Linked DNA regions of Oryzias latipes. The protein of the gene in region 3 interacts with the protein of the main gene of each other region in a biochemical or structural test. Links are inferred from orthologs where the notes say so. Each region holds a gene or a part of one and is shown on either strand. Other genes may lie near its edges.

Evidence for each region.
Region 1: the proteins of patj (region 3) and tanc1 interact in a test that uses a peptide from one of them, tested with the Homo sapiens proteins (2 studies listed by IntAct, with this or other methods). The link is inferred for Oryzias latipes from reciprocal best matches to the Homo sapiens genes PATJ and TANC1.
Region 2: the proteins of patj (region 3) and tight junction protein ZO-3 form a complex in vitro, tested with the Homo sapiens proteins (2 studies listed by BioGRID and IntAct, with this or other methods). The link is inferred for Oryzias latipes from reciprocal best matches to the Homo sapiens genes PATJ and TJP3.

The regions. Positions count from the first base shown.
Region 1 is NC_019879.2:20,913,919-20,917,520, forward strand, and holds the end of tanc1 (protein TANC1), read left to right. Parts: coding exon 1-1,258; 3' UTR 1,259-2,774; downstream 2,775-3,602. Other genes in the region: WD repeat, SAM and U-box domain-containing protein 1, read right to left, coding at 3,229-3,380. UniProt on the Homo sapiens protein: May be a scaffold component in the postsynaptic density.
Region 2 is NC_019862.2:27,012,019-27,015,864, forward strand, and holds part of tight junction protein ZO-3, read right to left. Parts: exon of another isoform or gene 3,632-3,846; intron 3,534-3,631; coding exon 3,477-3,533; intron 3,056-3,476; coding exon 2,931-3,055; intron 2,822-2,930; coding exon 2,719-2,821; intron 2,633-2,718; coding exon 2,335-2,632; intron 2,229-2,334; coding exon 2,125-2,228; intron 2,028-2,124; coding exon 1,838-2,027; intron 1,748-1,837; coding exon 1,672-1,747; intron 1,589-1,671; coding exon 1,491-1,588; intron 1,314-1,490; coding exon 1,226-1,313; intron 830-1,225; coding exon 647-829; intron 556-646; coding exon 455-555; intron 1-454. UniProt on the Homo sapiens protein: TJP1, TJP2, and TJP3 are closely related scaffolding proteins that link tight junction (TJ) transmembrane proteins such as claudins, junctional adhesion molecules, and occludin to the actin cytoskeleton.
Region 3 is NC_019862.2:6,374,086-6,377,931, reverse strand, and holds the end of patj (inaD-like protein), read right to left. Parts: coding exon 3,744-3,846; intron 3,670-3,743; coding exon 3,546-3,669; intron 3,121-3,545; coding exon 2,974-3,120; 3' UTR 188-2,973; downstream 1-187.

The sequences.
Region 1 (3,602 bases), on a different chromosome or scaffold from region 3:
GGAGGAGGAGGAGGGTGACGAGGAGGAAGAGGGAGTGTCCTTGAAACATGACAGAGCAGGTGAAGCCTGCTGGACCCACAGCAACTATTCCATAAACAGAGTCTTACCGTCTGACCCCCCAGCAGCCAGCAGCTGCCTCGGACATCAGACTCCCAGCTCGCCGCCTGGCCCCGGCAGGCTGCCGCCGCACCGGTTCCATCGGGAGCACCGGGAGCCCCTGGCCCAGCAGGCGCTGGTCCTGCAGCCCACCAAGCAGGCTCAGATAGTCAAAACCAATCAGCACATGGGGGCTGTAGGGGGGCGCTCCACAGGGACCAGATCTCAGTACGCTCCGTCCAGCCCTTTACCCAGCAGGCACATGTCCAACATGCTGAAGCCGGGCCCGGGCATCGACATCAGCCCTCTGTCGACTCCGGCTGAAGAGCCTGTGTACGGGACCCGTGCGCTGCCGGCGTCCGCCTCCCCCTCCGCGGGTCACGGCTGTGAAAACGAGAACCTGCTTCCGCCCCAAACCTACAACGGCTCCAAAGCTCTGGGGCAGGACAGGCTGTCGGTCCACTCCGCATCCTCTCTGGACGGGTCGGCCCTCTCTGGACTCACGGGGAACCCCTCTGACCCGGGGAAGGAGGGCCTGTGTGCGGCGGCAGCATCTCAGGGAGGAAACCTCAGCGGCATGCGGGTGTCCAGCTCCACCAGCAGCTTGGCCTCCAGCAGCAGCCTATCTGACAGCGGCAAGCTCGGACCCGACGTCCGCTCCAAGATCTCCGACAAAACCAAGCTCGGCAAGCAGGCCGGTTCTGCGGCAGAGTACAAACCCAGACCTTTTATGGGAATAACTGACAAGACTGCACGCTTTCAGCAGCAGCAGCAGCAGCAGGTCCAGCAGCACCACCACAGTCTGCAGAGCCACCCAAGCCTGCAGTCCACTGGTCGCAGCTGGCTGAGCCGCTCCTGTGACGGCCCGGTGTGTCAGAACATGTCCGCCGTGAGCCTGCAGCCGGCCGACTGCGAGTTCCCCTACAGCAGAGCAGGCGGCGTCTACCAGGAGCAGCACAAACACCCGCCGCCTCAGAGCGGCTTACAAAACGGCATGCACGCCAAGGAATTTGCAGAGAAGTTCTGCCAAGCAGCAAACTGTTTCCGAGAGTCCAAGCCGCCGCTGGCTGTGCCCAAGCAGCACGGGTTGGCCCGAGATAATCCTGCCCTTCACGTAGCTTCAATGAAACCAAAGCGATCATTCATAGAGTCGAATGTGTAAACCAGTCTGTCTCACCGGCCAAAACTACAAGTGGGACGCTGTCCGTTTCTATTCTGCCCGGGTCTTTAAAGAAACGACGATGCACCAGAAGTTTCCAATCTGTCGCTTCAGCCTCCTGTTACACGAAGACACGTCCAACGCCCCGCTGCCCAGCTGGAGCCATTGCACTGATCCGTGGGCGTGTGCTGATCAACAACACGGCGACAGCCGGGCCGAGCAAGTGCTGCAGCCTCGACCTCCAGAAAAGTCTGGTCCTTCACTCTTTGCTCATGGGGAGTCCTTCAGTTTAATCCAAGGAAACTTCAACAGGGTGTTCAGCTAATAAAACGTCTCCTTTTACATCCTATTTAGTTTCCTGAGAGACGAGGGGCCATGTTTTCATTTAAAGGAATTCATGCACATCATTAGAAAGCAAGAAATGAGAAGTTAGACTTAAATAAAAGCTACAAGGAATTTTTTTTTTTTCTGTTTGTTTTAGGATAAAATCAGTTGAAGTGAAAGTGCTATGTACTGAGCTACAGCTACGTAACAAGACGACTGCTCTAAAGGTGCTGAAAGACCTTCTTTTAGGACTTTTCAGTCCAAAAAGAGGCAGATGTCTTTCTCTGGGACCAGATGACGGATTCCTGGGATTTTTACGTTTTTTTGAGCAGTTTGGAAAAAGTGGTGAATCTGTGTCTCGCTCATGATTGCATCCAAACACGTTTTTATTCCAGTCTGGATGTTCATTTCCAAACTTTATGCTCATAAAGCAAAAAAAACGATTTTGCTGGCATTTAGAAGTTCTTCACTTTCCTACATTTTGCAGATTCTCCCAGGCAGGCAGCACAAACAAAAACAAACAAAGCAATGGATTCCATCGAAACACCATCATGTTCAAAAAGTGAAGGCTTTGTAAGAGTATTCAGAGAAGCGATTGTAAGGAATGGGCATTCCGGTGTTTTTAGGAAGGATGTAAAAATCCTCACGTGTAAAATATATAAATATGTTCCATTTCTTTTTCAGTGAAGGTCTATGTTTTGTGTATTGGCAAGTTCAGACGTGTGAATTTTGAGTTTTCGGCACAATGTTGTTGAAATGGTGTTCAAATGTTAGTTAAGTATATATTTGTACATTATATGAATCACCGTTAACACTGAATTCCTGCTTGTTGTTGCCGTCTAGTTTAATTTATTTACAGCGCCAATGGCTTTGGTTAATTGTAAAAGCAATATATTTTATATAGTTATTTTTGCACAGCTACTAAGACATTTTACGATTCTTATTATTGTTGAGAGCTCAGTGCATGCTTCAGTTGCAGTTTATATTGCAAAAAGATATATATCGATCTATAAAAAATGAGCGATGGATGGAGGGCAGAGTGCCGCCGGCGTCATTTTATGATGTACGTTAAACGCAATTGTTGCCATGTTTTCAGTATTGTGAGCTTTATTAGCCGTGATCACATACTGTAATTGAACATTACTGCCATTGACACCATGGGAGACTGAATAAAGGCCCACTGAGGAATATCCCACTCTTCTGTTTGGTTTCTTCCAAAACGCGTAAAGAGAAGGATGCAACACGAGTAAAACCATGTTGGTTAGTTTGGTGGCTGCAGAATAAGTGAATCCATCTGTTTCTTTGTTTATCACAAGTTCCCTATTTTTTTTATTTGTTAAGGCAAAAATAATCTTAGAAGAGCGAAAAATCAGCTGTTTTGTAGGCAGAGTGATCATCTGATATTTCAAAGTTTTAAATAAAACTTTATTTCACACAATGTAAGTAGTTTGGATGTTAGAATTAGTGCTTTTAAAACATCTTAAACTTTGCAGCAATGTGCCTTGCATTATACATTTTTCAAAATAAAAGCAGTATTTATAAGGCCAACTGGGCCTGAAATGCTCATAATTTTATGAGATGAGACGGAGTAGCATTTTCAAGAACAACAATTGATCATTTGGTTCCCAATGGCAACGATGAGCTCTCGTCTAATGGTCTGACTTCCAGTGTGTGATTGCCATCTTCAGGGATCTGTTGGGGGTGAGGAGCGTGGTCCTGAGGGGCAGGTTTGTCATGGGACTGGTTTTGTGCTTTCCTCGGATCCAGCTCTCTATGGACTCGCGCTCATAGGAGAACCCATCTGTGGAGTAGAAGGACACGTTTTGGTTCCAGAATTCCTGTGGTGAAGCTCTGATGCCAGATCGACTCTGGTCCGACTGCGATGTGTCTCCCTTGCGTTGTGAGGGGAGTCCGTCTCATGATTGTCCCCCCTGGGAGTGGTTTGTCCAGTCACGCCCACGTCGAAAAGTTTATCTAAAACTTTGGCCCCATGCCCTCTCCTTGGGATGGTGTTAACTTGTGT
Region 2 (3,846 bases), about 21 Mb from region 3:
GGACTCTGAAAATGTTTTAACATGACAGAATCCTGTTTTTGTTCATTTGTAATATGTGGAATAAACTTTCAGCTCAGAGACAAACAGAACACTCAACACTGAAAGAAGAAATTTCATAATTGTATAGTTTTAAAGGTTTCTCTCTAATCTCGATAAGTCTCGATGTCTTGTTCTGAAAGTCCATAACATGTACGATCATCTCTGTCAGCAGGAGACACAGCGATGTAAAGCTGTGTGTCATCAGCATATCGTTGCAAACGAATGCCATGGCTCTTGGGAAAGGCTTTCTTTAAGAAGAACTTTCCTGTTACACCCTGGCCTCATCTTTCTTTGTGTACACCTGCATATCAGGCATTCACATTTATTAGGTAAATATTGGTGAGGAAATGTTTTAGAAGGAACTGGGCGTGCACAATTACGAGGAAATGTAATGACGCATGTTTGCTTTTCCAACCTGGTCGTGGAATCCTCAGGGGAGAGCTAACTCTCCTCAGTGGCTCCTGGCGAACAGGGATGGGAGAGGATTTCAGGGCGCCATGAAGATCAGGAAGGACTCTGCAGACGGGAGGAAAAAGCATCTAGTCAGGAACAATCTGAGCTGAAACACTGGCTGAATCCTATACATATTCAATAGAAATATCAGTACTTGTATCTGCTGTCAACATGGGGGGTCTGTCTGCGTGGAGGGGGGGTGCCACTGCCATCCGAGTCAGAATCCGACACAGGTCTGCGGGGCAATGTGGAGGTGTTGGAGGAGCTAGGCAAGGACCAGTTTTGATGTATAGGGGAGGACCGCGGGTTGGGGAGGGTGGACATTCCCGACAGAGGTCTGTAAAAAACAAAAACAATAGTTCAACAGTTTAGGTCCCACGGTCCTCCACAAAGCTCCTTCGCATGGTAGACGAGGATAATATAAGAGATGATCAACTCAGATTGTAAAGACTTTTGCAAGAGCATGAGGATGAATAAAACTGTTATTTAAAATAAAACGCCCTACAGCATCTGCAAAAAAAGGAAGATGATCAATTATTATGTTAAATGATTTTTGCAACTTATATTGTTTTTATTATACATAAAAAATGCTAAATACAGATGCTTTTAGTCAAATCACCTTCAATAATCGTGAAGCTGACTTTTATCCATACAGGGGTTATCTTGCAGGTCAAGAAGGAATAAATACACTTCACACACAAGTTCTCAGTTCAAAGAATGAAGGTGAACTTACTTATATTTGCTGGAATCCCTCATTTCAGGACTCTCTCTTTTGACGGGAAGAGGGGAGGCGCTGCGGTCGGACTCTGAGTCAGAAGGAGCTGAAGAAACAATGAGGGGTTTGAAACATTAGAAGGGTTCTGTCAATAACTGCTGTCAGAAACAAACAAACTCTTCTGCTTAGAGAGTTTTCATGTATATCTCTGTACTATTAAAGCATCATCAGTTAGTGATGATGTCTTTTATTTTGAAGAGAAAGTGGTTGCAGCAGGACTGACGTCTGCGAGGGGCGTAGTTTTTTGCAGGCCGTCCCAAGGTGGAGCGCATCGGGGAGGAGTCACGAGACTTCACCACAGGAATTGGCTCAGCTCTGGTTCTGGATTAGAAATAACGTTTTTTGTCAATAAAGTTTGCCGTCTACTGGACGTGGCTTGTTTAAAGTACGGTGGAAGTCTGTACCTGCGTGTCCGCTTCTCTTTAGCAGTTTGACGGGCTGTTCTGCGAGGAATCAAGTCTTCATCAAGGTCTGAAATTTCTGCAAAGACAGGATGAAATACTGTAAGTTCTTTATCTGATGCTTTAAGACTCTTGGTTCTCAAATGAAACCCAAGAAAATTGTATTGACCTTCCAGTTCAGAGCTACTATATCTGCGGCGCTCGTCCCCCGTGTTGTGGGGGCTGTCGTCTATTTCTGGGATGCTGACCAGGAACTTGCGGTCATCTCTGAGGACCATCATGGTCAGCTTTCCCCTGCTCTTCTCCACCAGGTGCTTGGTCTCCAGCAAAGATAGATTCTCTGTTGTCATGCCGTTGATCTGCACATTAAGAGATCAAGACAGATGGATTAGGACTTTTTAATGCAGCATCGATAGGAAAAAAAAGTCCACAACCGTTACTGTAGCAGTTCTTCACCTTGAGAATGAGGTCTCCCTCCTGCAGGGAACCTTCTCTTGCAGCTAGGCCAGTTTCAGTCATGTGCTTTATAAAAATCTGGCTGCCCAACTTGAGTCCATATTCTGCAAAAAGAATTCGAATAAATGAAAGAAAACAAAACATGTTAGAAACACAAATTAGGAGATGTTCAAGTTTGAACATAAATGTTACACTAAAGCTATTCTTTACCATCTGTGGTTTTCTTTTTGATCAAAGTGGTTTTGATAGGTTTGTCTGAAGCAGTGCTTTTTGGAAGCCTCTTGTAGCTAGAGGACACCAGAGTTGGCGAGTTGTTTCCATAGCCATTGCGGTCAGGTGTCGTGCTGCGGGGTTTGGAACGGTAGCGATCTGCATCCCGGGGATCACTGCTGTCGGAGAAGCGGCGGGTTCGTCTGGGGTAGTCTTGATCCAGCAGGTTGGACTGGGACACTGCCCGCTTTGGTTTTGTGGTTGCTGGGATTTGTATTTTTCGAGAACGTTTCACAGTCTGCAAAAATAAATAAATAAATAAATTGGCGTAGATTGATGGTTTCCCTCTTTCCTTTAATTTGTTATTCATTTTTCCATACTTACTATGTTTGCCGTCTTTCCGCATGTTTTGAGAGTTTGAATGGTAAAGTTTGAGTGGACGTTGTCCATAGGTATGCCATTGACCATGGTAATTTGATCCTTATGACTATAAAAATCAAGGAAACTCTCATAAAAATGTGAATCTGTGAGCATGAGCTACTTAGGGTCTATAGCGATAGAAGTGGTTATCTAATGGCCAAGAATGGTAAACTCACAACAGTCGTCCCATGGCTGGTCCATTTGGCAGAACATCAGACACCACCACAGCAGTTTCTCCATTTTCTGGGTTAGGTTTGTCTCTCCCTCCTGATATGGCAAAACCAAAACCCAGTTTGGGGTCCTGTGATTGAAAAAAAAAAAACCAAAAAGATGAATGAGACAAAAAAGGAAGCAGAGGAGAAGAACAATGCAGAAGAGTGAGCAGGTGATGCCAGAGGGAGATAGAGGGAGACAGAGCACATTCCAAAGACAGGAGGGTGCCGCGGTGCAACAACAGGGTGTGGCGCTTCTGAATTCCTGCTTGGGTCTGTGCTGCGAAACCCAAGCACCTGCAGCAGAAGCACTGAAAGAGCCACACAAAGCCCTGAGAGACGATACGGAAACTGCCTGAGCCAGGGCGCCTTCCGCATAGCCACTGTATACTACCCAAATGCTGCCGTTGGAAACACTAGGCAAAAACTGAATTGAATTGAATGAAAAGTAATCTAAACACTTATTTTAGCCATATCCCTCATTAAAGTCTGATCAGAAAATTCACTTACTTTGTTCAGAGTTATTGTCTGCTGGTCCCATATTGTTATTTCTTCCATCCCGGGTCTCTAGAAAGAAACACAAAAGTCATCTTATTAGGTACAACAAATATTACACAATTTTTCAACCTAATGTGTCAGTTCTGCTGTCGAACGCAGATCCTTACTCGAATGAAAGTTGATTCTGAGGCGAACAGTGAGTGTTTGTTTAAGTCAACCTGGTCTGAGCATGCTCACACCTGTTTCTACCTCACCTGACCGGTATGGAGGAAGGCTTAACTGGTATGTGTAACTAGTATCTGAGGTGTGGGTGACACATAACTTTACAAACAGGAAACCCATTTATGGAAACAAACAGTCATTTCCACTTGTCAAAAAATTT
Region 3 (3,846 bases):
TCCAAACCATCTATGCTTTACCAGCAGCATCATGAATGAGGGCAGGACCAAAAATGGTTGAGTATGACTGTGAACAGGTCAAATGGAAAAAAAAAGGGCAAAATTATTAATGGTAATTGTTAATTAATCCTTGGTAAAAGAAGAAAACAGAGAAGTAAACTTTAGAGACAGAAAACAATTCTTGAAATGTCATTTGTTCATTTTTTATTTAATGATTGAGCTAAACAAAGCTTGAATAAAAAAAAAAGTCTTAACAAAATACATTAATGACAAATTATTATGCATGTAAATAAAATCAAACCATGACATAAGTCTTTAATGTTCAAAAGGTCACATACAACGCAAGGCTTCTAAGCTCTCATTAGTAATTTTGATTATTTAAACATATTTGTCTATTACACAATAAGGAAAATAACATTAATTCCAAGTGAAGTTAAAAAAATAAATTATAATTTATTTACAAAAATAAGAGCAGTTTAGACAGTAATTACGTCAACATAAAGTATTAGCACATGATTGATATGTAGCATAATTGTGTATTTCTGCCATTTAGAATGCCACCAGCGGATAAACATTTATCTGCTAACACATTATTTATTTGAAATTGTTAAAATTACAACTGTATGTCTCTAAATTATCTTTAAATATGGAGCAGCATATCTTTGAAAGGGGACACTTGCTGGATGATCCATAAAGGCTGGCTAGCTATTCACCTAGATGGCTATTCAATTAACTAGGAAGGCTAAATCAAAGATTACATGATCAAAGAAGGTTTTTTGTGGTCATTAATAAAACAAATGTCGAAAATAACAGACAGCTTGACAGATTAACTGGTTATGTTGGTTTAAGGGCCACCGATTAAGCTAACAATAACTAGCTAATATTTAAGAACAAAGCTAACATGTTAGCAACATTGGAAAAAAAAACATAATTAAAAGTATCTAATTTTTCCCTGCATTTTGCCTCTAATAGCCTAAATATTAACTTTTGATTCAGCTGCTAAAAATAATTGTGTAACTGAAATTGAGAAAAGTTTAGAATAATAACATAATTTCAATTACAATTTCAAGACGTTTTTTTCAATTAGAGTCAATTTTGAATTCTGGGCAATCACAAACTGGTTTTTGATTTCATTGTTTCCTTTAAAAGTTACATTTGCTTCTTTGGATCTACTTTTTTTTTCTTTTAGAGAAAGCTGGTCAATCCTTAATCTATGCTAATTTTGAATCCTTCCATGTTGTGTCAACAGATCATCAGGATGAGAATGAATGAACGTGACTGAAACTAGGATATAGTTTCATATTTATATTTACATGCGCACACATCTCTGCGTTAACATTAGACTGTGGCCTCTTTTCATCTACAAAACATTTATTGTACAAAATAATTTCATTTTCCTCTCTATGACAACTATTATGGAAGACACCGTGTCTGTTGTTGGGGGGCAAGATTGGGTGTTCATGCTCACTAAGATTCATCTTCAAACCAAAAATGTTGTGGGACTGTTTAATGAAAGCCTTTAATCCTGCATCTGTGAGATTTACCTCTTACCTTTAAACACCGTTAAAACGGTCTTGTGCCATTTTCTTCAATACATTCTGCAAAGCTTCCTAAAGGACTAACGTCTTCAGGATAGTTTTTCCACATCCTGACAGTTAGAGCTCAAGAGGCTTTCCATGGAAACTAACTCCAAAGCAGTTTGTCAAAGAAAATAGGCAGCTGACGCTCTTCTGATGAATGTCAGGAAAACTAGCTGCTACTGATGGAATCAGAAGGTCATGAAGCTCCACGATCATCTCTTTTGTTTTATTTTTTCACAAAAATACATGGTTTCATTTCTGATATAAGAGCTAAACAGGTTGGATTATGCTCGAGTCCCTCTGACGTTCTAACTCCGATTTCCCAGCACAGAGCAGGACGTCATGGTTCCGCCCTCAATAACTAGACTTCTGCAACAATAGGTGTGCTGAACGGTGACAGAAGTCTTTAATCCAGAGCTCACAGTTTGGCTTCGGGATGATGGCACATTTCAAACATGTTTCTTATTGAATCTCAACCTTTTTTTTCTGTCCAAAAAGGCAAAAAAGCAAAACTAATTTTGGCATTTCCTTAAAACAAAACAAAAATTGTGTTTATATTGTTTTTTTGATCATTGCATTAAAGCAAACGTGCCAACGGGTTTGCTTTAAGAGATCAATGCAGATCTATTGATGCTTCTGCAGTGACAGATATGTCATAACTCCAGACAACAGCTTTACCATCAAAGCTGTGGATCAGAGCTACACAGGAAAACAGAAAGGAGTGATGGGATTTCAGACAAAATGCTTGGAAAGATCAGTTGGAGCTGATCCGCTTCATCCTTCTGCAGGTCTGGTATTGTATGATATTTCTAATTATCATTGTAAAAATGAACAAAGAAGAAGCCTGATTTTGGTGTTTAGGACTTTAGAGTTTGTGTCCCACTTAGCTGGATTCTGATGAAGAACCACTGAGCTAAAGAAGAGAAGGTTGTGAGATCAAACACCACTGTCTGGACAGATGAATGCATTGACGGTCCTCTCCGGGTTCAGTTCTGATCAGAGGACATCCCGCAGGAGAATAGTGCGTTGCATTAACTTTTTTGTTGGTGTCCAGACGTATATGTCCCAAAAGAAATAGACCAGAATTGAGGAGCTGCATGGATTGCTACGGTTTGGGACTTTTTGAAACAAAGGCCACCGAAAAAACCCAAAAGGAAGCAAACTGAGTTGACTTAAACGCTGAAGTTTTTAAAAGACACTGAAAATATAAAGCAACAGAACTGGAACCAGATCTGTGACTTTGGGAAATTCATAATGTTCTGGAAGAAACTAAGAACGTCTGACATCAGTGCGTGCTGGTCTGACCCTCCAATGTGTGTTTGAGTGGGAAAACACTGGGGAGAAGAAACTTGACATGCAGTTTGAAAGTGTTTGTGTGTGCATTCAGGTCACGTTATGACAGTATCTCCAGCGTGACGGTTCCTCTCTGTTTCTTCAGGATGGTCACTGCCTGCTCATGTGTCACACCCTGGAGGCTCTCACCGTTCACTGACAGGATCTGATCCCCCCGCTTTAGGCGCCCATCCACAGCCGCCGCCCCCTGAGACACACACCGTCATGAAAGTTTTGTGGCTTTAGCATCCAAAAACAGTTCATTAGTTAAATACTTTTAAAAATATGGCTGATAAACAAAACTGAATGGGAATGTCTCTGGGTCCCCCCAGAGGAGCTGGAGGAAGTGGCCGGGGAGAGGAAAGTCTGAGAATCTTTGTTTAGCCTGCTGCCCCCACGACCTGGCGCCGGGATAGGCGGAAGAAGATGGATGGATAAGTTTATTGTGGTGGCTTAGCTAGGTGGGTGGATGTAGCTAAGCCTAATTTGAGTCTATGGTCCTACCCAGTTGCCTACCTTAGAATTAAGTTCAGATGGATTGAACTAAGTCAGTATGGCTGACCTAGATTGGCGTTTCTTTTTGCTGTGACGTCATATACTATAAGCCAGTTGGTATAAGTCTATGTTGCTGACCTTGCTGAAAACTGTTTTCACATAGATGGGCAGGTCTCCATGGGGACTGCCGAAGCCTCCAACGATGCTAAAGCCAAGGCCATCAGAGCCTTTCTCCAGGGTGATGGTGTTGGGCTGCGGACCCCTGGGAGGGAAGAAGATAATTCAAGTTCACGATGGCACCAGCCCCCACCATACCATGTGTTTGTGGGTTCTCACTCAGACTCAGCTGCGTGGTGCGTTTCAGTGTCAGCAGATAAACTGGAGCCGCTGGTTAAACTCTCCACTTGAGAGGCGATGATGCTGATGTTTGTGTCGGCCA